Linked DNA regions of Alligator mississippiensis. The protein of the gene in region 1 binds, or shares a complex with, the protein of each later gene. Links are inferred from orthologs where the notes say so. Each region holds a gene or a part of one and is shown on either strand. Other genes may lie near its edges. The genes, in order: SRRM2, CWC27, RBMX2 and SNRNP200.

The links.
Region 2: SRRM2 (region 1) and CWC27 share a complex: the UniProt entries of both Homo sapiens proteins name them as parts of the minor spliceosome. The link is inferred for Alligator mississippiensis from reciprocal best matches to the Homo sapiens genes SRRM2 and CWC27.
Region 3: SRRM2 (region 1) and RBMX2 share a complex: the UniProt entries of both Homo sapiens proteins name them as parts of the minor spliceosome. The link is inferred for Alligator mississippiensis from reciprocal best matches to the Homo sapiens genes SRRM2 and RBMX2.
Region 4: SRRM2 (region 1) and SNRNP200 share a complex: the UniProt entries of both Homo sapiens proteins name them as parts of the minor spliceosome. The link is inferred for Alligator mississippiensis from reciprocal best matches to the Homo sapiens genes SRRM2 and SNRNP200.

The regions. Positions count from the first base shown.
Region 1 is NC_081830.1:700,631-708,587, forward strand, and holds the start of SRRM2 (serine/arginine repetitive matrix protein 2), read right to left. Parts: upstream 3,001-7,957; 5' UTR 2,898-3,000; intron 2,329-2,897; 5' UTR 2,298-2,328; coding exon 2,071-2,297; intron 1,161-2,070; coding exon 1,056-1,160; intron 658-1,055; coding exon 496-657; intron 259-495; coding exon 181-258; intron 90-180; coding exon 27-89; intron 1-26. UniProt on the Homo sapiens protein: Required for pre-mRNA splicing as component of the spliceosome. As a component of the minor spliceosome, involved in the splicing of U12-type introns in pre-mRNAs.
Region 2 is NC_081826.1:261,519,806-261,527,195, reverse strand, and holds the start of CWC27 (spliceosome-associated protein CWC27 homolog), read left to right. Parts: upstream 1-4,389; 5' UTR 4,390-4,471; coding exon 4,472-4,513; intron 4,514-7,390. Other genes in the region: protein SREK1IP1, read right to left, coding at 4,131-4,143. UniProt on the Homo sapiens protein: As part of the spliceosome, plays a role in pre-mRNA splicing. Probable inactive PPIase with no peptidyl-prolyl cis-trans isomerase activity. As a component of the minor spliceosome, involved in the splicing of U12-type introns in pre-mRNAs.
Region 3 is NC_081831.1:40,216,232-40,223,071, reverse strand, and holds the start of RBMX2 (RNA-binding motif protein, X-linked 2), read right to left. Parts: upstream 3,018-6,840; 5' UTR 2,956-3,017; coding exon 2,905-2,955; intron 2,753-2,904; coding exon 2,629-2,752; intron 1-2,628. UniProt on the Homo sapiens protein: Involved in pre-mRNA splicing as component of the activated spliceosome. As a component of the minor spliceosome, involved in the splicing of U12-type introns in pre-mRNAs.
Region 4 is NC_081830.1:10,327,527-10,334,479, reverse strand, and holds the start of SNRNP200 (U5 small nuclear ribonucleoprotein 200 kDa helicase), read right to left. Parts: upstream 3,003-6,953; 5' UTR 2,912-3,002; coding exon 2,867-2,911; intron 1-2,866. Other genes in the region: STARD7 (stAR-related lipid transfer protein 7, mitochondrial), read left to right, coding at 3,633-3,895. UniProt on the Homo sapiens protein: Catalyzes the ATP-dependent unwinding of U4/U6 RNA duplices, an essential step in the assembly of a catalytically active spliceosome. Plays a role in pre-mRNA splicing as a core component of precatalytic, catalytic and postcatalytic spliceosomal complexes.

The DNA.
Region 1 (7,957 bases):
CTGCCACCACCCCAAGAGGCTCTCACCGGTGTTTCTTCTTCTTGGAGCTTTTCTTCCTCTCTCGGCGTGAGGGTGACCGGCTCTCTGACCTAGCAGCAACAGGGGGAGGGCATGATGAAAACCCAAGGATCCAGACCCCTACTCTCCCACCCCAGAGAACCCGGGTGTCCAGGTACCCACCTCCCTCTGTCTTTCTTCTTTTTCTTCTTCTTTTGCTTGGGGGACGGAGACCGGGAGCTGCTGGACTCTCGCACCAGGCTGGGGCGGGGGGGGGGGGAGAGAGAGAGAGTCAAACATGCAACCCAGGCATCTGGGACACGCACCCAGAGAACCCAGGCATCTGGGTCACACAAAGGCACAACCCCCAACCCCGTCCCAACAAAGAACCCAGGTGTCCGGTGCAAATGCAAACACATACAATCTAAGTTTCCAGGCCCCCCCACCAAAACCCCCCATCCCAAAGAGAACCCAGGTGTGCAGCACATCCCCAGGTACCTGTGGGGCGGGACGGGGTCAGGCGGACGGGGAGCAGGGCGTGCCCGGCGCTGGGGGTCAAAGGAGCTGCCGTCCACGTAGGAGTCGCTGATGCCGAAGGCGGCGCGGAGTCGCTCGTTCTTACGCTCCGTTGCCTCGGCTAGCTGGTGGGTCTCCGTCACCCTGCAGGAGGGGGGGCGGGGGTGTTGGATCCAGGTACCCAGCACCCATTACTGTCGTCCCCCAGCCCAGAGGACCCAGGTGTCCAGGCTCCCAGATTCCCCCAACCTGCTTTAAACCCCTCCAGTGCCATGGGATGATTGGAAGCAAGGAGCACTGCTCGCCAGGGGGGCTGTGGGTCAGGAGTCGGGGCGAGGGGCACCACTGGAGGGGGCTGCAGGTCAGGAGTGAGGGGCACTGCTGTGGAGGGGTGAAGGGGGTTGCTGTTGGTTGGGAGGGAGGGGCACCACTGGGGGGAGCTGCAGGTCAGGAGTGAGGGGCATTGCTGGTGGTGGGGGTGGTGCTGTGGATAAGGAGTGAGGGGCACTGCCATGGGGGGTGAGAGATCAGGGGTCACTCACGTGGGGCGCCCCTCAGGGGTGTCGATGTCCTTGCCCCCAATGTCCTTCTCCAGCAACATGAGGCGGAAGGTGGCCACCTTCTCCTGGATCTCCCCCTCCGTGTACCTGGGGACGGGGCTTCAGTGGGGAACGGGGCCTTGCCAACCCCCCCATGACTCCACCCCCAAGCCTAAGCCCCACCTCCAAACCTACTTCATTGCCTCTGTATATGTTCCTGTGACTCCCACCTGCCCTGTGCCCTGGCTCTGCCCCTTGACCTGCAAACTCGACCCCTAACAGCCTCAACAGCCCCAGACACCCCTACAAGCATCTCTGCTACCCCGTACCCTGGCTCCGCCCCCACCCCGGCTCCACGCCAACCCTGCCCCAGAAGTCTCAGGAACTTACTATGGCTTGCCCACTTACGCAGTGCCCCTGGCTCTGCCCCCAAGCCCCGCCCCTAGCCCTGTTCCAAATGCCCCAGAAAGGTCCCTATGCGCTTCCTAGCTGACCAAGGCCCTGGCTCCACCCCTACTCCCAGGCTCCACCCCCAACCCCACTTCAGCAGCCTGAGACCTCCACATAACTTTCCTAGCTACCCCATGCCTTGACTCTGCCCCCCCCCATCCTGCCACAAAGGCCTCAGCAACCTCTCTATAAACCTGCCACCTATCTCCCACCCCTGGCCCTACCCCCACACATACTCCAAAATCCTCAGTAACCCCCCACCCCGTGCCTCTGGCTCTGCCCCCAAGCCCTGCACCCACACAGACCCCAAACACCTCCCTACAGCCTTCCCAGCTACCCCATACCTCTGGCTCCATGCCCAAGCCCCACCCCCATGACACCCCCCCCCCGAACCTTCCCAGCTGCCCACCTTTGGCTCTGCCCACAGCCCCCACACCTCCCCCTAGGCCTCCCCCCCAATCTTCCCAGCTACCCCATGCCCAAAGCCCTACCCCCATAATTACCCCAAAGACCTCCCCACAACCTTCCCAACTGCCCCTACCCAAGCCCTGCCCGGCAGCAGCCTCACCCCTGCTCCTCCATGAGCTCAGCCAGCTCGAGGCACTTCAGCTCCACCTTGCGCTTGCGCTCATGGTCCAGGATGTCCTGGTTGGGCCGCTTCAGCAAGGCGGGCTCGGCCCGGGCGCCCTCGTCCTCAGCCCGCTCCCGCCGGTGCCGCACGGCCGACAGGTTGCGCTGGACGTAGCCGTTGGTGCCGCTGCCCCGGGGCGTGGGCAGCCCTATGCCATTGTACATGGCGCCGCCGGGGGGAGGGGGGCGGCCAGACCTGCGGGGGGGCGGGGGGTAAGAACCCAGGCACGTCCAGGAGCCCCACCCCCTTCCCAGAGCACCTGCCCGCCTACCCCCCCAGCCCCCTCCAATGCCCCATGCCTCAAACCTCCTCCCCAGGGTGGGGCTGGCCTCAGCCCCTCCCCCCATTATGTCTCCCCCTTGCCTCCCAGGACTCCCCCTCTCTCAGCTCACGCCCCTGCCCCCCACAGCCCCTCCCCCACAGAACACCCCCCCCGTGACCCTTCTCCCCCAAAACACCCCCCGGGCCCCCCCCTAAAAGATTCCCCCACGACCCCGCCCCCAAACACCCGCCCCGTTCCCTCCCCCCTAAAAGATTCCCCCTCGGCCCCTCCCCCAGCCCAAAACACCCCTCACGACCCCGCCCCCACCCCAAAACACCTCCACGGCCCCTCCCCCAGCCCAAAACACCGCCCCCACTACCCCTTTCCCACGGCCCCGCGCCCCCCACGACCTCTCTCCCCTACAACACCCCTCCACGCCCCCTCCCTCCTCCCCCCCACGCAGGAGCCCCCCCTCATTCCCAGACGCCCCCTCCCCCCTCACCGGGCCCGGGCCGGACCAGGCCGCTCCGCTCCGCGACGCTGGGCCTAGAGGCTGGAGCCTGGGGCCGGCGCGGGGCAGGCCGGGAAGATGGCGGACCGCGGGCGGCGCGGGGCGGGGCCGGAAAAGCCCCGCGCGGGGCAGGCCGGGCAACGGAGTCCAAAATGGCGCCGGTCGGGGAGGCCACGGTGCGCATGCGCTTCGGCCTCCTCCTGCCTGGAGCGCACGCGCCTCAGAGGCTGGCGGGGGGCGATTAGCGCTGCGCACATGCGCACCGGGCCTGGCTCCCCGCGTCCCCTCACTGGGGAGTCGGCCCCCGTCCTGTGCGCATGAGTGGGAGGGACTAAGCGGTCGCCATCTTGGCGGGGGAAGGGACGCTGGGAAATGTAGTCCGACCCGTGTGCGCCTGCGCAGGCGGCCGCGGCCTGCGCACGTGTCGAGCTGCGTGTGCACGTGTGCGTGCACGGACACGTAGGGGTAGGGACCGGGGGGAGCGGGTAGCGTGTGCACGCGCGAGTATGGCCTAGCTACGACAGCAAAGTACGTCATAGCACGTGTATGCATCTCACGCCCATGACATGTCTAACACACACCTGCATGCCATACCTGTGTTGTAATAACATACAATAGTATGTATACCATTGGTGACTTGTACACATGTTAAACTTTCATGTAAAATTTATGACGTAATAACCCGCCATAGCATATGCTGTATGTGCCACATGCATGTAGTACCCATGAGCCAGAACAGAAAATAGTATGTGCATCCTATAGTATACACGCATACATGTAATGCCTGATGTAATAACACACGATAGCACATGCCATATATGACACACATTTAATACCTGTGATGTAATAATACACAATGGCACGTGATCTAGATATGCCACACATGTATGCAATACCTATGACATAACACAGAATAGCCCGTGTGCTGTACAACACGTGCATTCATATACATATGTATATATACTGTACAACGTGCATACATATAACACCCATGACACGTAATAACACACAATAGCACAGGTACCCTATAGGACACGCACATGCATGTGATACCTATGACATAACACACAGTAGCATGTACTGTATATGACAGCCCTGTAACACCCATGACATGTAAGAACACAATAGTATGCACTGTATATGACACACATGCATGCAATACCTATGACATATCATGGAACAGCACATGTGCTGTATGACATGCATACATGTACTACCCATGACACACACAATAGTGTGTGCTGGATATGACATGCAATACCCATGCCATGTAATGAAACACAATAGTGTGACATACATGACATGCATGCATGCAATACCCATGACGCAATAACACACAATAGCATGTGCCATATATGACACGTGTAATACCCATGTCACGTCACAACACACAATAGCACGAGTGTTACCTGTCATACCGAGCATCCAGAGAACATGGAACGGAGACTTGGAAGTGGGTATCTGACCCCACGCGAGTGAAGAGCCTGTGACACATAAAACAGCTCACATGTAACTCATGCACATGCTGTATATATACCATTTAATAATGATATACATTAGCACAGCCACAACACAGCTGACAATTAAGAGCAGGTAATTAATGCCTCGTTATTAACCTGTCACTCTCTGTGCTACGTATACTCCAAATATGTCTGTTAGCAACTGTATTTTTGGACTTAGGACAGGACAATCCCGTGTGCTGGGACACAGGGGCAAGAAGCTGGATAGAAGCCAATAGGGTATCCTGGTTGCTAACGAGCAGGGCTAATTATTGCCAGGAGGTGGAGGTCAGAGATTCTCCCCCTCTATTCAGCACTGGGGAGGCCACATCTGGAGTGCTGGGTCCAGCTGTGGGCCCCACTGCAGAAAGCACTAGGGAGAGTCCAGCAAAAATCATTGGGGAGCTGGGGGACATGATGTGTGAGGAGATGCTGAGGGAAATGGGTGCATTGAGGCTGCAGAAGAGAAGACCGAGGGGGGGGGTGGAACTGAATAGCGGCCTGCAGGGTGGTTGCAAAGGGGATGGAGCTGGACTGTTCTCAGTAGGCGCTTGTACACGTGACCTGTAGTGCCAGATGACAGGACAAGGAGCAATGGGCTCAGGCTGCAGCAAAGCAAGTTGAGGTTGGATATTAGGAAAAACTCTCTGACAAGGAAGGTGGGAAAGTGCTGGAATGGGCTGCCAAGAGGGATTATGGGATCTCCGTCCTTGGCGGTGTTGAAGACCTTCAAGGGTGGATGAAGCCTTGGCTGGGATGATGGAGTTGGGGCTGGTCCCGCTTGGAGCAGGGGTTGCACTAGATGTGACCTCCTGAGCTCCCTTCCAGCCCACACGGTCTCTGATTCTATGAGTACAGGCACATGTGACTTTCTACAGGCACGTGTGCAAACACATGTACAGACACCCATGGGTGCCTATGGCATACACATGAGAACTCATAAACACAAATATACATGTGTGCAGGTGCACACAGAAATATGAGTACATGTATACATATGAGTATAGGTGCGCATGGGGTCATAGTATAGTGCTTAGGGTCGGGAGGGACCTAAACGGATCATCAGGTCTGACCCCCTGCCCCGGGCAGGAACGGGTGCCAGGGTCATATCACCCCATCCAAATATCTGTCCAGCCTCCTCTGGAAGACCCCCGAGGCAGGGGAGAGCACCGCCTCCCTTGGGAGCCCAGTCCAGAGCCTGGCAGCCCTCACCGTAAAGTCATGTCTCCTGATGTCCAGCCTGAACCTGCTCTCTAACTTGTGCCCGTTAGTCCTAGTAACCCCGGGAGGAGCTGGGGGAACAGAGCCTCCCCCAATTCCCGCTGGTGAGTTTGTAGATGGCCACCAGATCCCCTCTCAGCCTTCTCTTGCGGAGGCTGAAGAGGTTCAGGTCCCGTCGCCTCTCCTTGTAGGGCCTGCCCTGCTGTCCCCTGACCGTGCGGGTGGCCTCCTCTGGACCCTCTCAAGGTTAGCCACATCCCTCCCAAAGTGCGGCGCCTCGCAGTACTCCAACTGCGGCCTGACCAGCGTCGCATAGAGTGGGAGGATCACCTCCCTGGACCTGCTTGAGCTGCATCTGTAGGTGCGGTTAGCTTCCTCGCATTGCTGGCTCATGTTCATCCTAGAGTCAACAATGACTCCAAGATCCCCTTCTGTCACCACGTTGACAAGAAGGGTGTTCCCCAGCCTATAGGGTTATATGGGTACATGTGCAAACACGTGTACAGGCACACATGGATACCTATTGGTATGTGTGCGCACTTAAGTACACATGTACATGTGTGCAGGGGCACATGGAAACATGAGTACGTGTGTACATATGCGTATAGGTGCAAATGGGGTCCTATGGATATGTGTGCAAACATGTTTACAGACACATGGGTACCTCAGGGTATGTGTGTACATGTGGGAACACATAAATACAGATATACATGTGTGCAGGTGCACGTTGAAACACAAGTATGCATGTACATGAGTACAGGCACACATGGGTACCTATGGGTATGTGTGTACACATAGGAACATGTGAGTACAGATATGCATGTGTGCAAATGCACACAGAAACGTGAGTATGTGCGTACATACGAGAACAGGGGGTTCCTATAGGTACATGTGTGAACATGTGTGCAGACACACATGGATACCTATGGGTGCGTGTGTATGCGAGTACAGATATATGTGTGCAGGTCACCTGGGGTCACGGGTTTCATAGATTTCATAGACATTCGGGTGGGGAGGGAGCCCGGAGGATCATGGAGTCCCGCCCCCGCCCCGGGGCCAGGAACTCCGCTGGGGTCACGGGATCCCGGCGAGATAAGCATGCACATTTCTCTTGAAGGCGTTCAGAGCCGGTGCTTGCACCACCCCCGATGGCAGGCTGCCCCAGACCGCGGGGCTTGGACAGGGAAGAAATTCTTCCTTACGTCCAGCCTGAAACGCTCTTGCAGGAGTTTGTAACCGGGTTAATGAGGTCTTGTTAATGATTGGCTGGGACCAGAGTGGGGAAGCAAGCAAAACCTGGGGAAGGAAAACCAGGGAAAGGGGCTAATTTCCTCATTCTTTTGGCCCCAAAATGGCTCATGATGGATTCAGATGGGCCAAATCCCTCACTTTTGCTCCCAAATGGCCCATTTTTGCCCCCAAACCTGCTCGAATTGGCCCCAAATTGGCCAATTTCTTTGGTTTTTTTCCCTAGATGGCTAAAAATAGACCCAAAAGAGTCTATTTTGCACTTTTTGCCTCCAGAAAGCTCAAGAGAGACTGCAAGAGGCCAGATCTCTCCATTTGCCCCCAATATGGGTTGAATTAGACCCAAATTGACCCATTTTCTCTATTTTGGCCCCCAAAATGCTCAGAAGTGAACCAGAATTGGCCAGTTCTAGGTTCATTTTTGAGGCATTCTTGGGGCCAAAATGGGGGAGATTGGCCCATGTGTGTCAAATTAGAACAATTTTGGGTCAAAACTGGCCTGTTTCAGTCTAGTTCAAGGCCTAAAAGGGGAAAGGGTTGGAATTCGAGCCATTTTAGCCAATGTCCCCATTTTTTACTCCAAATTCTTTAGACTGGATCGAGATTAGCTAATTTCCCACCTTTTGGCCCCCAAACTGGCCAGTTTTTCCCATTGCCCCAAAATGGCTTAATCTGGACCCAAACTGGCCGATTTCTTCCTTTTTGCCCACAAATAGCTCAGAAATGGATGAAAATTGGCCAATTCTTTCCATATTTTGGCCCCAACTGGGGCTGGATGTGGATCCAATTTGAACTATTTGGGGTAAAATGAAGAAAATCAGGAGTTTGGCCATTTTGGGCCCAATTCAAATACTTCCCACCTTTATGACCGAAGATGATCTGAAAATGACCAAATTGCTTCTCTTTTGCCCCACAGTTGATCTAATTCAACACAAATTCGCCCCTTTTTCCCCATTTCACCCTAAAATTACTCAAATTGGAACCACATTGGCTGCTTTTCCCTGTTTTTGCCCCCAAAGTGTTCCAGTCTAAAAATAATTGTCCGAATTCCCCATTTTTACCCCAAGTGGCTCAAATTTGACC
Region 2 (7,390 bases), on another chromosome or scaffold:
TTTTTATACAGCTATAAAGTTATAGCCATAGGTGCTGAGAATGTACAGGCCTGAGGGCCCTGGCTACCCTCAGGAAGAGGGCTGTCGGGGCCCAAACCTGAAGATTACATAATGCTTCTCCTTTAAAGGAGAAAAACATGAGAACAGGGTTTATCTTTGTAGGGTGCAAGGAGCTGCTTGGGGCAGGGGGGGGCAGGGAGGGCTATAGGTGGAAGGGGGTGACACAAGCACATGATAGCTAAGCAGTGGTGAAGAGCAGCTTCCTCCAGGTAAGTCTATGGGGGCGAGTGATGAGGGGGCACAGGTGACATGTTGGGAAGGGTGGAGGCGCACAGGCGATGCAGTACAGAGGGGCAAGGGGACCAGAGTGATGTGGCAGGGAAGAGGGGGAGCACAGGCAATGTGGAGGAGAGGGGCAGGGGAGCACAGGCAATGCATCAGGGGAGCGAGGGAACACAGGCAATGTGGTAGAGAGGAGTCGGGGGATGGGGAAGGTGACACAGCGGGGGGCATGTGACTCCCAAGATTTCTGCACCCACAGCAGGACATGGGGCACAGGGCTGCAGCCAGGGTGGACCAGCTCCAGGTAGGAGCTGCCTCTGTGGCCCAGCAGGCAGGACCCAGCGCAGGACAGAGCACCATGGCCACCAAGGTGAGGTGTGGAAGTGGCATGGAATTGTGCTCCTGCTGCTGCTGGAGCCAGAGGGTGTCTTACCTTGGAGGCCAGGGCAGTGTGGTGCTCCCTCCTGTACTGGGTCCTGCCCACTGAGCCCCTGAAGCGGATCCTGCCCAAGGCTGGTCTGGCCAGGCTGCAGCCCCATACCCTGCTTTGCGCACAGGAATCTGGTGGGAGGCACATGGTCCCTCCCACCCCCTCACACATTACCTGTGCCCACAACCCCCCTTTCCCACATACCTGCCCCATTCCTCACATACTGGGGGCTGGCACACATCCATCATCTTGGCCACCCCCTACCCTAGGCAAAAATGAAAGTTGGCGCCTATGGTTACAGTGTTCTTAAACTTGACAGAAGTGCATGGTTTGGAGAGGAAGCGGGGAAAGGTCTCTGAATCTCACTGCACTTTCCAGGTTATGGGGGCAGGGGGCACTCTGTAGCCTCCTCAGTCTTCTCTACTGGTCAAAAATTTGACCAGTATACAGAATTTTTTTAAAACACTGTAAAGCTAAAATGCTGTAAAATACAGTGCTTCAAATGTAATAACTCATTTAACAAGGGGTAATTTAAAGTGATGTATCCATTTTTAAAGTACTGTAAATCCATACACTTCTATTAAGTCATGGCCAGGCATCCTGGTTTTCTGTTTAAAAGCTGCAGACTCTCTGATCAAAAAAAACCCCAAATCCATGTTTTTCCGTGGTTAAAATTAAACACCACTCACACTCTCTCTCTATATATATATATAGGTGAGAGAGAGAGAGAGAGAGAGAGAATCAGTTGAACACAATGTTTTACATTTACAATGTAAAAGCAATTTGGAAGCCTACCAGTGCCTCAATCACTATAATAAATAAATTCTAAATACCTATAAATTTTGGCACTTGATTTTGGGTTTTTTTATCATGGAAAAATCAGAGCTCCCCCTGCCTCCTTTGCTCACCAGGATGCAAGTCCAGCTGTGGCTGTTCCCCACACTGCTTTGAGGCGTGGAGCTGCACTGACATGCCAGTGTCCTGCCCATGCCATTGCCCCTCCCTCCCAAGCCACAGTCGCACCAACCCTGCCGGTGTCACTCACTCCCAACCTACAGCCCCCTGCCTGCACCCAGTCCTGCCAGAGGGGGTCCCCGGCTGCTAGGGCTACAGGGACAGGAACCCGGATCTGCAGTTACCTTCCCTCCCCCAGCAGCACCCAAGCCCCAGCTGCCACCTGTGGAGCACAGCTGGAGTGGAGCCTGTGGTGGGGGCAGATGCAGGATGCCTGCTGTAGGCTTGGGGCTCTCTGCCCTGCTGCCCTTCCCCCACGGTCCAGCAGGTGGGACCCCACACAGCAAGGCAGAGTGGGGTGGGGAGGCTTGGTGTCACAGCTGGGAGCCTCGCATTGCCATGATGAGGTGCCTCCTGTCCCAGCCCCCCAGATGCAGCACCAAGCCTCCCTGCCCTACTCTGCCGCGCCAGGTCCCACCTGCTGAGACGCAGAGGCCACAGGGGAAGGGCAGCAAGAAGCCCACATCCACTTCTGCCCTGCGCACAAATCTGGAGGACATGTGGGCAGCAGTGGAAAGCCAGGCCCCTTGCTGCCCGCCAAATGAACCGCCTGCAGCTCCATCCCACTCTCTGCCCAAACTCTGTGCCCACACATTTCGGTCCCAGGCCCCATCCTAGCTGGGCAGCAACTCCAGCCCCACTCCTTCCTCCCTCACTAGGGGAGCCTCAATCCCTCCCTCCTTCCACCCAGGCTTATCCCCCTGTCATGGCAATAAAGCGCTTTAAGTGGTGAAAAAAAATAACTTTTATACACACCCCTTGGTTCCATTCCAGCAGGTAGCCCATGCATAGAGCTTTATAATTGTCCTGCTGCTTTGAGCTAACACACCTTGTCCACTAGCTCACACAGACATATAACCCAGTCTTCTGGGATTCAAACCCTGCAAACAATTCAATTCAGGGTGCTGTCATGTTAGATATGGCCACTAGAAAAAGGAATATATAAGGCCAGCAAAGCCCAAACCAATTATAAAAGGCTGCTGAAAGTTTAAATTTTCTGTATGAGTTTTTACTGAACTCGGGATTACTCTGCATCGTGATTGTGGCCAATACTTCCACTCAGCAGCAATTTCACTGATGGCAGAACGAGCTTGATTTGTTATGAAGCAATAAACTCCTCTTCCTTGTTGTGGTGGAGAGGCTTGCGTGCCCTGATGATCCTGAGAATGATGCTGTCTGGACAGCCTTTTTGGTAGGGTATCCTATGGCATTAAGGTCAAAGGTGAGGTTTCAGACAAATAGCGACCCAACCCCAATAACTAGGGCAGGTGGAACTCTTTACCCCTGGTCTGGGAACCTACCTAGGAGAAGGATACTCCAAAACTAAACCTACAGCCTGGAGATCTCTCTACAGCTGTCCTAGTTCACCAGGCACATGAGTTTCAGGCCTAAAGAGCGGGGCCAGTCAGTACAAACTGTACTCCACTTTAAAGCTCCACACACAGGCAGGAAGAAAACAAGTCGCCCAATAAACTAGCATGGAAACATTTTTAAAACCACAGCATATCCCTTACAAAGCCCTGCTTGGCAATTAAAACTTCTTTCCTTGACGGGTGGGGTATTCTGTAGATCTGGGAAAATTTGCTTTCTGAAAGTGACTTACAGTTCACTTTGTGAATGTTTTTGATGCTGTTGCCTGACTGCTTAACTGAGCTGAAACATCACCAGAAAATAATCTAGAGTGCATACTACGCCCGTTGGTCATCTAGTCCAACCCCTGCCTGACAGGCAGGATCCTCCCTACCCAAACCATCCTGTACAAACCCACATCTAAACTGTGCATGCACAAGCCTGAGCTCAACCCTGACACACCACGGCCCTCACACCCTCACCTACCCCAGGCAGAGCAGGGGACGCAGCAACCCATGTCTGGCTGCTGTACAAGGGGGTCAGCGTACGCTCAGGAGACCCTGGGAGAGGGCCAGGCCGGGCAGAGGAAGGCAATGCCCCACTTCGGGTTGCCAACTTTGTTTGAATCTATTCCAGGAGGTTTCCTCACGTGATGTAGTGACATTAATGATCAGTCTACTGTACTGCACTCAGGAAGGCAAATGCATATTACTATTACATTAAAAAAAAAAAAACCCCATGGGCCTAAACTGGATGCAACATTTAATGTTTATTTTAAAGAACGCCCTATTACTTGTCTCCCGGGTGACTCTCAGCAGTCTCCTGGAGATTGTATCCAATTCCTGGAGGCTCCCGGGCGATCCTGGAGGGTTGGCAACCCTACGCCCCACAGGTGGGGACAACTCCCCGCACCCTGCGCGGAGGGGGAGTCCCCGCATCCAGGAGCCTGGGCTGCGACCTGGCCCCGGTTGCGGGCAGGGCGCTCCCAGCCCGGCCGGGGGACTAGGACACGGGGAAGGGGCCGCCACCCGCTGCCCACAAACAAGGTGCCCACCTGGCAGCGCCATCCTCCTCCTCCGCCTGCTCGGGCCGCGTTGTTCCGGGCCGGGGCTGAGCGCGACGCGCCGTGGGCCGCACCACTCGCCCAGGCGGGGGGGGGGGAAAGGGAGGCGCGGGGGCGGCCCGAGGGGAGCAGCTGCGAGGCCTAGGAGTGCGAGATGGGGGTAGCGCGCCGCCCTACCCAGGCGGCCTGCGACCCCATCACAACCGCATTATCCCCCGCGCCCCCCGCCCCCCGCAGCTGAGTGGTACGGCCCAACATGGCGGGCGACGCGCGGAGCTAGGCGGGCCCGTGGGGGAAGGGGCGCGGCGCGGCCGGATCGCGGCGGGGGCAGCATGAGTAACATCTACATCCAGGAGCCGCCTACGCACGGCAAGGTGCGGCCGGGGCCGGGGCCGGGGCCGGGGCCGGGGGCGAAGAGCAGCGGGGAATGGCCGTGTCGTTCTTCTCGAGGGCGGCTGCGCCACTCTGGGGAAACGAGGAGCCGGGGCCGGATCCGTCCCGTGGGCGCTGTCGTCCGGGATACCCGGTCCCTGCTTCCACATCCCCGTGCGGGCCCAGTCCTGCGGTGTGCTGGGCCGGGGCCGGGGCACAGGGCTGGTCCCAGGCTGGGGTGAGGCCTGGGCCCGGCTACTCCGCGTGGGACCGACGGGGTGGGCGGCTCTGTTTGAAGCTGAGGTTTCATCACGTGATGCAGTGCATTAATGACTGCTCTGCTGTACCGCGCTCAGGAAGGCAAATGTACCATTGCATTTTAAAAACTCACTGGACTACTGTATACATTAGATTCACCATTTAATATTTATTTTAATGAATGCTGTATTATTTATCTCCCAGGTGACTCTTAGCAGTCTCCTGGAGATGTATATCTGACTCCTGGAGACTGCAGGGCAATCCCGGAGGGTTGGCCACTCTAGGGTCCGAACGTGGGAGGCCAGAAGGTGGGTGCCTTGCACGGAGATGGGCAGTGGCTAGCACAGGATATGCAGTCACATGAGATGCTGCGAACCATCTGTCAGGTCATCAGCCCTGGGGCATGCATACCCCTAGGGGTACTTAGAGAGGTCATAGAGGATACTCACGGGCAGGCAAGGACGGAGCGCGCCCCAGGGCACAGCAGGGGCATCCCCTCCAGCGCGCTCCCACATGTTCCCTCTTACCTGAGGGACCGGGTGGCCCCACGCACACTGCAGCACCTCACCCCAGCGCAGTCTCCTGATTGGCTGCTACCCTCAGCCAATAGCTGATGGCAGGAAAGTGCTGCGGACACCTCCTGCCTGCAGAGCTGCAAGGCACAAAGGGCCTGAATGGCGGGGGTGTGGGGAAGTGTGTTTCTGTGCCTGCTCCCAGGGGCAGGGCTGGGGCGGGAGGGCGAGGGCAGCAGCGCCTCTGATGATGGATGTGCGCAGGGCTGTCCTTTGGGTAGGGCAAATCAGGGGCGACCGCCCCAGGCCTCATGCTTGGGGGGGGCCCCGCAGAGCTGGGCAGAATGGCCACAGCCCCTCCCATGGGGCCCGCCTGGAGCTGGCAGCTCAGCCCCACGCCGCAGAAGAAGTATCTAGCTGCTTGCCACCCCGCTATCCTCCCGCAGCACGTCACCAGCTTTGCATCTGCTGAAGAGCGGCTTGTCGGGGCACATGAGATCTGCTTGGCCCCTGGGCACCAAATTTCATTGCCTTTGTGGGGGTCCCATGACCCCATGCCATGTTAAAGGGGCCCCACACAGGCTGATTTGCCCTGGGCCCTGCATCCCCTAGGGTTGGCTCGATGTGGGGCGGGGGCACTTGCATGCGGTGGCCACCACCCCATGCCGCCACCTCCCAGGAGCAGGTCCAGAGAGGGCAAGGGCAGCAGTGCACATCTGCGGGCCGCACAGGTGCAGCCTGGCTGGCCGGACGCAGGGGATGGGGGAGCTCACACACCACTGCCACCCACCACCACACGCCACTGCTATGCGCAGCTTTTCTATGGATGTGTGGCTCCATGGGGTGCTGACAGGCGGTGCACGATTGGCCGGGCGCAAGGCCTATCAGCAGCCCTCAGAGCCACATGTCCGACTGGCTGTGGGAGAGCGGGGCACAGTGGCAACACGGGGTGGTGGGTAGTGGCAGCAGCCTCCACATGCGAGCCCAGCCCTCCCCCGCCCCATTTCTAGCCGCTGCCACCAGAAGGGGTGCACTAGTTAAAAAAGTTTGAAAAAAACCTCAGATCTATGTCATAGGCTGCAATATCTACCATCTGTCATAGACGGAAAGATGCCAAAAGAAAAGAAGTAGAGGATGTTGATAAAAAGCATGGATTTGCAACATTTTGCCATTACAAGCTTCTGCTGGCAACCCAGCTCTCTGCTGTGACCCACAAATCTGTGTTTGCTGGTGATCAGCAGGTGCTACGGAGGGAATATGGAACAGGGCAGGGGTTACAAGCCTGTGGATGCCTCCACTGCTGCCGTAGCACAAGTGTAATGTCAGTGCCCTGAGCCATAGGTTGCCAACCCCTTGTATAATGAGATAAAATGATGCACACAAGTGTCACATGCCAAGTCACCAATGATAAATTCTTATCACATGCTTTAATTCAGAGCTATATCTTGTGTATCAGCACCACTTTGAGGGGAGAAAAGTCGACAGCCAGTATGTTATGGCTGCTGTTGCTGCTGCAAATCCAAACCGATCTTCCACTTCTGCCTCTGCATTTCTCAGATTGGAGAAGGAAAATATTTTTTCATTCAAACTATGGTGTGATTTGATCAGAGACTTCATCTGCAAATGTTCAGTTGCAGTATATTTTGCATGTTAAAAATACATGTACTTGTTCTGAGGTCCTGTTTAGAGTCTTGGATTTAAGGTAAAAGAGGAAAACAGCAAGGAGGATGGTCCTGGTGGGTATCTACAATAGCTAAGGTATATGTCCTGTTTTGGCCAGGACAGTCCCCAATTTCATGGGCTGTCCCTGCCAGTTGCCTAAAATAGAAGCAGAAGTCTAGGATTAGAGGCAGCACCCTGCCTACACATACCTGGTGCTGTTCCTCCTGAGCAGTTTCTGGAGGCTGCAGGGGTGCGCTGAGCATGGTATCTGACCTGACCCTCCTGCCTAGTGTGGGGATGGGCTGAGGTGAGGCGGGGGCTCAGGAACAGCACCAGGGAAGGGGGCTGGGGCTCAGGAACATGTATAAGGTAAACCGGCATGGCCACCAGCAGCCTCATGTTCTGCTGCTGCCAAGGTCTGGGCTTCATGTGGCGGCCCCAGGTGGC
Region 3 (6,840 bases), on another chromosome or scaffold:
GACATACACCTACCCCACCTATGTAACTTGGTTCCTGAATGAATGGGGATGAATGAGGGTGCTTGAGAAACAATGGCAGTGGGTCTAAAAATAGCTCCCCCTGAATGACTGAACCATCAACACCAATACCTGGACCAAGGACCCAGCCCTTGGAACCACCCTCAGCATTCAAGAAACAAAAGATGAGGCAACCCACCATTGTGCCAGGCTGCACATGCTCAGTAAGAACACCTGGAGCCCTCTGGAACAGGACTGGCATTGCCTGGACAGGCCCTCCCACAGGAGATCAGAAGTAGTCTGCCCCATAAAAAGGGGCAGTGAAGACTGACTCCTTGGGACGCCCTCTCCATTTGAACCAGCACCATGCCACTCACCCTGCCGGCAACCCCCCTCTGGACAACACCTACTGGACAAAGACCCCTTTCCAGCCTGGATAGGTAGCTATCATGCCCACCCTCTCTTCAACCAAGGACTTGGACCCTGCTTTTCTTCCCCACCTGGACTCCAAACCTTCCACTGAGTTTCTTGTGTGTGAACCAATAACTTCATGGGGCTGTGTAGTGTGTTGTCTGTTTAATAAACCTGTTATTTGGACCCCTGAGTTGGGTTTTGCTTTACTGTGGTTTGGCCCTGCTCCAATCTCTGCTCCTCACCCCTCTAACTTCTCTCATTTCTCCCTCTCCTGCTTCTGGCTCACTGCCACCTCCAACACCTGTCCTGAGCTCCTCTCTGCCTCCAAACCCCCTGTTTCTTTGCCACTGTCTTATCTCCACTGTCTTTTCCTTTTCCCCTGAGCAACCAGGTTTCTGCCTCAGTTTCTTTCCTGGCTGTCTCCTCCTTGCCACCACTTATCTCCCCCCCCCCACAATATCTCAGGTGTCTGCCTCAGTTTCCAGCCCCAGTCTACCTTAAGTAAACCCAAGCCTCAGTTCCTCAGCCAGCTTCTCTATAGTCCACTGGTTATAATCCTGGTTCTGGCAACTTTCACTCCCTACACTTTAATTCTCTCTCTCTCTCTCACCTGAACCTTCCCCCAAGTATCCCAGGTACCCCAAGCACACACATATACACTGTACCATCCAAATTAGGAACTTACCTGTATGTGTAGGTGGGTTGTATGTGTATGAACTGGCGAGTGTGTGTGTGTGTATATATGTCATTGTGTGCATGATATACAAATTAGTGATCTGTGTCTAACTTTTGGGGTGTATAGTATATGTACTTGGTGATAGGTATGCATGTGCCTAGGCTGGTTTGGATGTGTATGTGCCTGAGCTGGTAGTGTGCGTGTATGTACACACCTAATTGATTTGTGTGTTTGTACATGTGCAATTGTGTCACACCCTCCTGTCTAACAGCGCAATATTGAGATCCTGAGAGTTGGCCTGACCCCACAAGGCAACAGGGTCATAGGAAGCTTGCTTCTGGTGATGAGGATGGCAAGGTTTGGTGCTTGTTTAAAGGATAGGATGGGTGGTTATGAGATCTTTTTGAGAATTAGGTCTCCTTCTAGTATGGGTTGCAATTGTTTGAGAATTTTCTGTATAGGTTCGGAATTCATTCCCCCTTCCCCTCCGCCCCATTTGTCTCACCTGCTGACCAACTCAATTTATATTTTAACTCACTGGTTTTCTGAGATAAATACTGACCTCTGGCTGCTTTACCACTCCATCCAGGAAGAGCACAAACCATCTGCAGATGCTTCCTCAGCCTGGTGAAGGGGTTTGTGCCGGAAAGCTTGCTAAGAAGAATTTTTCCAGCTATGTGAGTTGGTGTAATAAAAGATATTGGATTTACCTTTACCCAAAGAACCTTGTCTGCCAACAGCGTCGTCCTTAGGGGCGGGGTCAAATCAGGGTGACCGCCCCAGAGCCCACGCTTTGGGGGGCCCTGGAGTCAGTGCCGCACAGGCCCCTCCGCGGCCGCCATGCAGCTGAGCACCCCTGGCTCTGCTGCCACCGCCTCCAGCTGCTCACCAGCCCCCCACCCGCCCAGGCTGATATGCTCTGGGCCTCACACACCACTAGGAACAGCTCTGTCTGCCCATGTCCTTAGAATAACACAGCTACAATCTACACCCCAGAAACAATAGCATGGGAACCTTGTGTACGTGGCAACAGATAGATCAGGGAGGGGAAAGGCAACACAGAGGCAAATAGCTGCTCCGCTTTCTGCTCCCTGTGCTAATTGGTTCAGAGAGGCACAAATTTTCACAGGCAACCACCTGCTTTGTCAGATGCTAGGAATGGGTTGGCAGAAAAAGTTTATACTGAAAAGAAATGGAAAAGAACAGCGGGAGGGGACACTGGTGAGGGAGGAAATATGAGGACTGGATGAATTACGATTGGGGAGACAGACAAGCTAGTTAGGGTGCTGGGGCTGTAGCTGCTTAAGGGACTTGTATACCCAGAGCCTGGTGCACTGAGGTCGACTCTGCTGTGCAGAAGCCAGGAGACTGCTCCCCTCTGAAGGGCGGAGGCCGCAGGTGAGCAACAGCGCCAGGTGGAGCCCGAGGGGGATGGACACCGGGAGCGGCCCGCAGGCACTGGGAACCTCGGGCAGTCCCCTCTTCCCGGAAGCAGCCCTCGGCCGCCCGGCCCGGCCCGGCCCCCCGCTCGCATCACGCACGTTCGTACCGACGAAGACCCAGGCGCTGTCCTTGTATTCCGCATGCCACGACACCGCCTCGCGCACGCCCAGCGCCGCCTCCCGCTCGTTCAGCTCGTTGATCAGCTTCACCTTGGTCAGGGCGCTGCGGCAGGGTGAGCGGCTCCATGTCAGGGCCCCGCATCCCGCCGCGCCCGCCCTCACCACGGAACCCTGCGGCGCCCGGCCCCGGCCCCGGCCCCTACCGCTACCCCGCCCGGCAACCACCCCAGCGCCGCCGCCGCAGCCATTACTTACTTCATGTCGATTGCTGCTGGTCACTGCGTCTGCGCCGACGTGCGTGCACATGCGCTGCACTGCTCACGCCTTGGGCTCCCTCCCGCGAGGGCTGCCTGGCCCGAGCTCTCGCGCAGCGCGGGCGGCCCCGCGGGACGGTCTCGCGTCTCGGGCGCTGGCGCCGCTGTGGCCAGACGATGGCTGCAAAACACGCCCTGGCCACCCCGCAGCGGGGCTGAGCCGCGGCCCAGGCGGCCGGGGTTAGAGACTGCCGAGGCGGGGCCGTTCCCGCCGCGCCGGACCGGGCAGCATCTGCGCCGGGCGGAGAGAAGCCGCCGCGCTGGAGCGCAGCGCCCGGCGCCGGCCGGCCGGGCCGAGGCGGGGCGCCAGGCCCCGAGGGCAGAAGCAGCGGAAGAGTCGTGAGGGGCTCGGTTTTGCGCTGACAGCGCCACACGCCACGGCCTCAAAGACACGGGGCGAGCGGGAGGGGAAGGGCGGGTTGAAGCTGTGCTTCTGAGCCCGTGCTTGCCTCTTGGGAGGAGACTGACAAGCCATAGTCTGTTTCTCAGACCCCGAGCCAGTGCTTCATACAAGACTCTGAGGCAGGGGTGGGCAAAATGCAGCCCGCCAGACCATTCTATCCGGCCCGCGGGGACCCTAAAAAAATGTAGAAAATTAATATTTATCTGCCCCGGCTACCTGTCATGTGGCCCTTGATGGCTTGCCAAAACTCAGTAAACCAAAACTGCCTGAAATAATTGCCCACTGCTGTCTAGGGTCATGTCCAGGTGAGCACATACGTGCCTGTTGAGGCGCCTCAAGGCAGTGTGAGATGCTGCGAGAGGAATGCTGGGATCAAAAAATGTTCCCCATACTGCATCTTTTCAGCACAGGCCCTAAATGTGATTCCTGGAATCCAGGGATCAAAAAAAAAAAAAAAAAAAAGGGGGGGGGGGAACAGGAGCAGGCTCTGACATCTAGCCAGAGTGTCTCTATGGCTGCCCCCTTCCCTTCAGCATGGTGGGGCAAATAGGAGCAGGGCAAGGCTGCAGTATGACCCAGATGCCATCCTAGGTAAGTAGTGATGTGGGGTGGGATGGGGAAGGTGTGGGGAGATTGGTGGTGGGGGAGGTAACTATGTGGGCCTGTTCCCACAGGGCACACAGCCATTGAGTGCTCAGGGCCTGCTGCTAGCAGAGCCCTCGGGTGCAGCACAGCCCTGGCCCCTTCAGACCCAGCGCTGCCTGTGCTGCACGTGCCTTCGGGCAGCATCAAGCCACTCTGTCTTTCACCTGGGGTCCCAGCACTGCATACAGGGGCTGGGCCAGGTCCCGTCTCCATGGAGCCAACCCAGCCTGACAGGGCACGGGGTACTTGGAGGCAGGGCCCGGCCCAGCCCAGCACAATGTACGGCCCCTGCATGCAGTGCCAGGACCCCAGGTGACAGCCAGAGCAGCCTGGTGCTGCCCAAAGGTGCACAGCACTGGGCTGGGCCTGAGTGCCCGATGGCTGCTGCAGGTTGGGACTGTGCACCCTGCAGTAAGTGGGCAGGGGACTCACCCCTCCCAAGCAGTGCCTCCCACCCCCACAAAGTCTCCCCACAAACTCCTCACCCACATACCCCAAACTCCTACACAAGCCCCATATCCATCCACAACCCCTTCCCCCCCCCCCCCCCAACAAATCTCACACCCTGTACACCCAGCCGGCCACAGAGGATGGGACAGAATCCACTGGCAGGAGCCATGGCTGCAGGGGCAACTACCACACTGCAGCCTTGCCTCGTGCCCACACCAGTGATAGGACATGTGGCCCCAGTAACTACTTAGGAGGTGTGATGGGCTGTGGGGGAAGGGGTGGAGGTGGCAGCATGGGTGTATATGAGAGAGATATATATGGGGGTCAGGGGTGAGGGAGCACTCTGGGTAGGAGAGGCCACCAGAGCTAGGCTTAGCACCCCCCTGCCCTCCTAGATCACCCTGTGCAGGGGGAGGCCAGCCTGGAAGGGAAGGGCCTTGACTAGCCCAGTCCCCGAGCCCCAGTTGAGGGATTCCCAGGAATGGCATGGGGAAGCTAGTGGGGGCAAGCAGGGACTGCAGATCAAGGAAGTGATGGGACTGTGGGGTAGGGGGCTGTGGATTAAGAGCGAGGGGCAAGGGCAGGGTCAGGGCACTGGCATATCAGTGCTGCTCAGTGCCCCACATCTTGGTGAATGCAGGGGGCAGAGGCAGCTCTGATTTTTCTACATTAAAAAAACCCAAAAGCAAATGCCAAAGTTTATAGATATTTAGAATTTCAATTATAATGATAGCGGCACTGGTAGGCTTCCAAATTGCTTTATAATTGTAAATATATCAATAAAATATTGCTCAACTAATCTCTCTATACATATTAGCATTTCATTTCAGTTGTGAAGAACACAGAATTTGGGTATTTTAATGAGAGAATTTGGGGGGGTTTAATCAGAGAATTTGCCATTTTTAAACTGGGAACAGGATTTCTGCAGGTAAGACAAGTGGCGAGACCCAGGCAGAGGAGCCTGCCCAGGGTCAGCACCAGGGACACAGCTGGAGGGCAGACGAGGTGGGTGACCTGGTCATTTGGAGCCAGGAGTGCATGCTTTGACAGTTCAAAGTGGGCCACTGCAAGGAGTACATCTGGGTGATAGCTGCCCAGGTGATAGAGCAGGAACACCAGAAGACATGATCACAGTTGGCCTGCAGGTGGCACTGCTCAGACAGCCCACTGGCAGCTGGCCCAGAAGCGCAGGAGGCTCTGCTGCGGTGCCCATACCACAGACCAGGTGGCCATGCAGTCCCCCTCTTGGTCTGGCAGGCATGCAGCCATGGGGCAGAATGCTGTCACAAGTGGCAGCAGGTCTCAGTCCCCATTGCCTGACTGCTGCAGTGGGTAGAGAGAGTGCAGGGGCCACTCTAGGTTAGGGCTGCTTCATCAGTCCAGGTGGCACAAGGGGCTAGTGTCCCCAGATACCAACTGGCTGGGTCTCAGATGCTCCCGTCTATTTGTATCTTCCAGAGATCATGGGCCTTAGGGCCCATCTAGTTAACTAATTGGCCCCACACAGTAGTGGGGGCTAAGTTTGAAAGATGCAACTGATTTTTTTTTTTTTTTTTTGGTGGGACAACCAAGGAAGAAAAGGGTAGGAGTGACGTGGGGGGGTCATAGGTTTAAAATGTGAAAAGTTCTCCGGAGGAGAACACTGAGCAGAGCCCCCCAGGCCACGCTCACTGGTCTTCAAAGGCATCCAAGGAGCCGCTGGACGCTGCCCACTGGTGCTCTGCCTGGAAACATGCACAGACAAGTGACAGAAAAGCAGCCCTGCAATCTCCAGGCACCTTGCCAGCCAGAGCTTCCTTCCTGGTCAAAAACAGGGCCCACTTGGCCAGGGTCAGGAGGAGGTTGCCCAGGAGATCCCAGGACTTGGTGAGGCCACAGATGGAGTGACCAAAAACAAAAAGGTGGGGGGTGAAATTTAACCAGAACCTCAAGAGGAGGTTCTGGAGGTGGAGGGGCTGCAGCCTTGCGCATTCAAGGGTCATGTGCACCAGGGTCTCCCTCTGCCTGCAGAAGAGGCAGGAGATGGGTGTCTGTGAAGCTCACTACATACACGCCTGTGGCAACAGCTCCATGGAGGAGCTGCCAGCTGGGGTCCTCGGTGGCTCGTGGGATGAGGGTGGAGTACAGACACCCCAGCCACGCCCTCGCCGAGCAGGTCCCACCACTTGGTGTGAGGGCAGCATGATGGACAGTGTGGTGCCCAAGAGTATAGAGGTGGACAGTGGAAAAGCGGACCAATTTGGTGTCCTCCAGCTCAGGTGGTGGAGTGGGGAGCCACTTGGGACCTGATTGACAAAGGCAAGGGTATCAGGAGGTAGGGCAGATTTCACCTGGACCAGATGGCAGGTTGTACATGTTGTGGGTAGATCCATGCCCTGG
Region 4 (6,953 bases), about 9.6 Mb from region 1:
TCTGGATTATACCCGATACCATGGTAAGAACTGGTAGGTGTACGGCTGGGGTGAAAGGGGAGGTTGGAGCCCCACTTGGAGGGCACCTTGCACTATAATCAAACTCGTGAAAACAACATCACCTCCCAAAAGAACATTCCATCAAGTCATGGCAGGCGAGAATTAGGTGGAGACTAGAGTCTGACTAGCTAGTCAAGGCATTCCTGACAACCACAGACAGGTGAATGTCATCAGGATGTCAAAGGCCACGTCCTTATGTGGTGATCCCTCAACAGGCTGCATATGTTTCAGAAACAATAGATACATTGGGAAATGCCCACACAGCAGAACATTTAAAAGAAGTGGCAGTGAAAGCTGTAATAAACTGTGAACAAAAATTCAACTGTCACATGCACAGTTGTCAGTGATAATGCTGCAAAGTTGGCAAAAATGAGAAGATACTTAGAAGAAGAAACGGAAGGATGCTCCTTAATAACATACGGCTACAGTGTCCATTTAATGCATCTTTTAGCCAAAGACTTAAGTACTTCTTCAGAAATAAAAGAAAATGTTGTTGAAGTCATAAAGTACTTCTGTACCAAGCATTTGGCTTCAGCTTCACTGAAGAGAGCAGGAGGATCCAAACTCACTCTCTCTCAAGATGTTCAATGGAATTCTGTGGTTCATTGTGTTGAACAATGTATTAAGAACTGATCTGTTTACATTGGATTAAGGAGGAATGTAGAGGATATGCTCAATATACTGAAGCCTACATCCATAGCCTTAAACAAACTTCAGAGAGGTTGTTGCTGCATTGCTGATGCTGTTGAAATTTGGAAGGCACTTCAAGAGACATTAAAAAAAGAAATACCTAACCAGAAAGTTAAACTGAAGGCAGTAAAGAAGCAAATGGATCAAGCACCAACTCCACCTCATGTTCTTGCCAACATTCTCAACCCCAGATATAAAGGTAGATGCCTAACTTTTGAAGATGCTGCTGCCTTGGCATGGGCATCTCAAAATCACTCCTCAGTTATGCCAGTCATAATAAATTTCAGGGCTGGGGGGGAACCATTTAAATAGTACATGGTTTACTGATGATGTTTTGAACAAAGTCACTCCCCTGAATTGGTGGAAATCATTAGCCAGGCACCTTGAGATAGAGTTCCTTCAGTTGCTAAGCCAACTTTTCACAGCAGTAGTTTCCTCCGCAGGCATAGAGAGGATATTTTCATTGTTTGGTATTATTCACTCAAAGAAGCTAAGAAGTCAACTGGGAGTTGAAAAAGCAGGAACACTTGTATTTCGGTTTCAGTCTATGAATAAAAATGGCAGTGGGAGTGGGGAAGATGAGACCTAGCTGTAGAAGTTTTAAGGACAGCATACATTTAGTGTTGTGATGACTTGTCTGTTAGAGTTAATAAAATGTGAAAATTAAGAGAGAGAGTTTAAGGACAGATGTTGTAAAATGCTGTACTGATTTGTAAATTGACATGTTTTAGTGATCAAATTTGTCCCATTGTTTAAGAAATATGTGAAGAAGTATCACTGGGAAACTTGATAGAGTTTTCTCTTGGTGATTTAAATTGCTTTGATTTAAATCAATCCACCCTGGCTCTTACCTTCCTGGAGGACCCCTTCTAATACCTGAAGGGCATTAATGGAAAAGCTTTGCTTGGAGTTACAGTTGCAGCGTAGGAGTTTAGCCTCAGAGAAGCTGTTCCCTCCCTATTTGACTTCAGCACAAGTAGCTTGAGAGCAAGAGACCTCTGCACTATCTAATGTGCAGCAGGTGCCACAGCTACTCAAACACACTTGCACCAGAAAGTGAGGGAGCTGCAACACAGTGCATTAGTTCAGTGAGCAGTGAATCTCTCCCGCACTCCAAATTTCCCTCCACAGTCACCCCTGTATCTGTCATCTGCTCCAAAGGTGGATTGTTTGCAGACTGCCCAGGGGAGCTGTGGACTCTCCATCACTGGAGGAGTTTCAGGAGAGGGAGGACAGTCACTGGTTGGGGATGATCTAGGTGTAGCGATGCCTGTGCTTAGGGGAGGTGCGGGCTCCCCATTGCTGGAGGAGTTGAAGGAGAATTCATATAGCCACAGGGCGAGGATGATCTTGGCATAGTGATGCCTGTGCTCTCCTACGAGGATTTCCTAGGCTGTGCTGGATGCCCCTCACTTTCTGCTACAGAAATCAGGGGGGCTTTAAGATTCCCTCAGAGAAGTTGGCTGCAGCCCAGGCTGGGGATGGTGACTGGGCTATGCCAACGCTGCTGGGACTCAAACCCAGGTCTTGACCCTTCACTCAGAGTCAGACTGATGGCGCTGCAGTGAGGTTAGGAAGGAATTCCCCCCCTCCCCTGTCAGACTGGTAAGGACTGGTTGGGGAGGGGCGCAGGGGCTGCCTTCCTCTGGAGCAGGTGGGGCACTGGGGGGAATATTAACAATGTTAAGGGTTACAGCAGCAGGACCTTGGCTGCTCTGGTTCCTGTTTCCTCTGTGGCAGGGTGAGGTGTTAGGTCTGGGTTGTTTCAGGGCCGGTGTTGGCCTTAGGTTGAGTTTAGAAGACGAATCTGTCTGGGGTGGTTTGAACAGGCGGTGCCTGCCGCAGGCGGGGCTGGACCACACCTTCTGGACGGACTGAGGTTCCCGTCAGCCCCGCTGCTCTGCGACTCGGGTGAGAGGAGGACGGCAGGGGCAGTTTTCCCCAAGCTGCATGATGTCGGCACCGTGCGACGGAGGCCTCAGAGCAACGGGTGGAAACACACAGCCCGCCCCGCCCCGTGCCCCAGCCCCTGGACGAGCCCCGATCCCGGCAGCACGAGGCCTGGCGCGACCGGCCCCGATCCTGGCAACGGCCTCCAGCACCCCACGGGACTCACCGCTTTGTACTCGTACTGCAGGCTCCGTGCGGTCACGTCCGCCATGGCAGCTCCTCAGGCGCCGCCGCCTCACAAGCCCGCGGCCTAGCAATACGCACCACCGCGCCACCAAGCACTTCCGGGGAAGGACTTCCGGTGTGTTTCCGCGTGTCCCGGAAGCACTCCCTCCCTCCTCTGCAGGGCTGAGACCTGGATGTAGCCTCGGGCGGTGGGCAGCGGAAGGACCCCGGTGTAGTTTGTTTGCTTTCAGCGTAGGCAAAGGGGACCCGGCTCTCAGGGGTGTTGTGTAGCGGCAGGCACTACGCAGGGCACCCCTCGGGGGGTGGAGCGAAGACCGCGGTCTTTCCTGCCTGTAAGGCGCTCTTAGGCGACCGCGCGCAGCCTAGCCTGTTGACAGCTACGACGGCGGCACTGCGCTCCAATCAGCGTCCGGCGGGGACAGGGCTCGGAGGACTATTGGCGGCGCAGTTTAGCCAGCAGCCAGTCACCTTCCAATCAGCGCCCAGCGGGAACGGGACCCGCAGAAGTGGTAGAGGTGCAGCCTATCACCGGCGAGTCGCTCAACTGACCTCCCGGCGGGGACAGCACAAGTAGACGCAATCCAATCAGAGCCCGGCAGGGGCGGGACCCGGAGGGTTGCTCCCAGCCGCTTTCCAATGGTCTCCCAGCGGGGGCGGGCCTGGGATTGGGGGCGCGGCCTGCCCGGCGCCGCAGGAGCAAGAGCGGGGCCGGCGCGCGGAGGGGCCGTACGCTGCGCATCGGAGGGATGTGGGCGCGCTACTGGGGCCCAGCCGTGGCCGCGCTGCAGCTGCTGCCCCGCCGCTTCCTGGCCGTTTGGGCCCCCCGCCGCCTGCGGCCCAGCCCGGGCCCGCCCGCCGCCTCGAGGGCCAGGGCCCGACGCGACCTAACGCCCGGGCTGTGGCGCCGCGGTCAGGGCCGCCCCGGACACGGCGCCCGCCGCCTGCTGGCCGCGCTGGCTGGCGTTTTCGTGTGGGAGGAGCGGCGGATCCAGGAGGAGGAGCTGCGGAGGTGGGTGCGGGTCCCCATGGCGCCAGCATCGACCCTGACGCCGCGCCCTTGTCCGCGGACTGAGCCACTGGGGCCCCCGTGCCGCCAGGATCGGGGCCAGTCCACGTGCTAGGATCGGGCCTGGTCCGTGCGCCGGGATTAGGCCCCCACATTGCTGGGATTGGGGCGCTAGCATCAGGGCCCAGGTGCTCAGTCCAGTGCACAATGCCATGCTCTCCCCTTCCTTTCTCTCCCAACCCTTTTTTGACAGCAGAGAAGGAACAAGTGGTTGCCACTGCCGCCCCCCCCCCCTCAAATATTGGGTCCTGCTGGCGTCCGTTGGCGGCATCCAGCCTGTGGGCCGGGAGCTGAGCACTCCTGCTTTAACCCTGTGTCCTGGCAGCGGCATTACTCTCCAGGTGGCGCTGAGGGAGTTGACTGATTTCCTGGCTCCTTATTATCGCCCTGATTCGTCCTGATCTCTCTGCTCCACCCACGTGACTGTTTCTCCCCCATGGCTCGCCAAAAGCATCTGGGAACGTCTCGTAGCTAGAAAGAAAGTGTACACCCAATGGAAGGGAGGGGCCGTCACCAGGGAGGACTATACCTCGGTTTCTCGGGGCTGCAGGGGGGCGGTCAGGAAGGCCAAAGCGGAGATGGAGCTGGGACTAGCGACCCGGATCAAGGACAACAAGAAGTCCTTTTTTAAATACATAGGGGGCAAAAAGAAGGTACTGGGTGACATGGGGCCTCTGCAAGACACGCTAGGAAATCTGGTCATCACACCAGACGACAAGGCTAACCTATTTAACGATTTCTTTGCCTCCATTTTCCTGAGTAGGGACCAAGTCAGCCCATCTGCCAGGACCCCCTCAGGCCTCGGGGGGAGGTGCACCCAGGCCTAGGGTCAGAGAGGATCTAGTCAGGGAACTTCTGGAGGGGCTGGATTTGTATAAATCAGCAGGTCCTGACGACCTCCACCCCAGAGCGCTGAGGGAATTAGCAGAGGTCATTGCAGGACCCCTGGCACGGCTTTACGAGCACTCGTGGTGCTCTGGTGTGATGCCAGAGGACTGGAAAAGGGCCAATGTGGTTCCCATTTTCAAAAAAAGGGGGAAGGAGGACCCAGGAAACTATAGGCCAGTTAGTCTTACCTCGATCCTGGGTAAGCTTTTTGAGAGAGTTATCCTGGTGCATGCCCACTAGGGGCCAGCAGGGGAGATTAGGTTTAGGGGCAACCAACACGGGTTCATTAGAGGCAGGTCCTGTCAGACCAACCTGGTGGCCTTATATGACCAGGTCACAAAATCCTTAGATGCAGGTGTTGCGGTGGATGTAGTCTTTCTGGAATTTAGGAAGGCCTTTGACACCGTCTCTCACCCCATTGTCATTAAAAAACCAAAGGACTGTGGTGTCGACACCTACACAGTCAAATGGGTCACTAACTGGCTGGAGGGTCACACCCAGAGAGTGGTGGTAGACGGGTCATTTTTGACCTGGAGGGATGTGGGCAGTGGGGTCCCCCAGGGCTTGGTCCTCAGACCCGTGCTGTTCAACATCTTCATCAGTGACTTGGACGAGCGGGTGAAAAGCACCCTGTTCAAATTTGCTGATGATGCTAAAGTGTGGGGGGATGTGGGCACGCTAGTAGGGAGGAATAGGCTGCAATTGGACCTAGACAGGTTACAGGGGTGGGCGGATGAGAACAGGATGGGTTTCAACACTTGACAAGTGCAGGGTGCTGCACCTGGGGAGGGAGAACCAGCAGCATACCTACAGGCTGGGGAACTCCCTTCTTGTCAGTGCAGAGGCAGAAAAAGATCTTGGAGTCGTTATTGATTCCAAAATGAACATGGGCCGACAGTGTGGAGACACGGTCAGGAAGGCCAACCACACCTTGCCATGCATCCACACATGCATCTCAAGCAGGTTCAAGGAGGTGATCCTCCCCCTCTATGTGGCACTGGTCAGGCCGCAGTTGGAGTACTGCATCCAGTTCTGGGCGCCGCACTTCAGAAGGGATGTGGACAATATGGAGAGGGTCCAGAGGAGGGCCACCCGTATGATCAGGGGGCAGCAGGGCAGGCCCTACGAGAAGAGGCTGAGGGACCTGAACCTGTTCAGCCTCCACAAGAGAAGGCTGAGGGGGGATCTAGTGGCCATTTACAAACTAGTCAGAGGGGACCAGCAGGTATTGGGGGAGTCTCTGGTCCCCCAAGCACTCCCAGGAGTGACTAGAAATACTGGTCACAAGCTGGCAGAGTGTAGATTCAGACTAGACATCAGGAGGCGCTACTTTACAGTCATGGAGGCTTGGACCTGGAACCAACTTCCAATCAAAGTGGTGCTGGCTCCTACCCTGGGGGTCTTTAAGAGAAGGTTAGACGAACACCTTGCTAGGATCGTTTGACCCCAGTACTTTTTCCTGCCCATGGCAGGGGGTTGGACTGGATGATCTGCTCAGGTCCTTTCTGACCCTACCAGCAATGAAACTATGAATGGTCTTGATGGTCCACCCTGGGCAGATGCAGAGTTTTGAAAAGGGGGTGCAAGTGGTGCGATGCCTTGTCAACACATAAAACACAACAGCTGTTTTCCACCTGATAACAAGAAAGCTAGAAGCTTTGCTAATGTACCCAGGGCTTGGCACAATGTGATTCAGTTTACAATCAAAGCAAAACCAAAGGTGACTTGAGTAAAATATGCATTCCTTTGTTGTTTCATATAAAAGCCACAGCAGACTTGGCCAAAACATAATCCAGAGATGTTGCCTCGTTATCCCTGGAGTCATTACAATTAAAAGTATGTCTTTTTCAGATTCATGAACCAAAATCTGGCCTTTTGGAGCTTGGCTGACGGTGACTCCAAGGCCCAAGTTCATATCTCTAGCTAGAGTTGGAACTCAGGATGTGAAAGGTTAAACATTTAAATGAGAAGTGTGTTTACCAGTAATGCATTACCAGCTAACCTAAGCAGTAAGGTTACATGGCAGGCAGGAGGGAGGAGGACTAGTACCCATAGCTAATCTACTCTCCTCCCCCCAGTTTGCCCATGGATGCAGTGGGCTGGGAAAACCCTC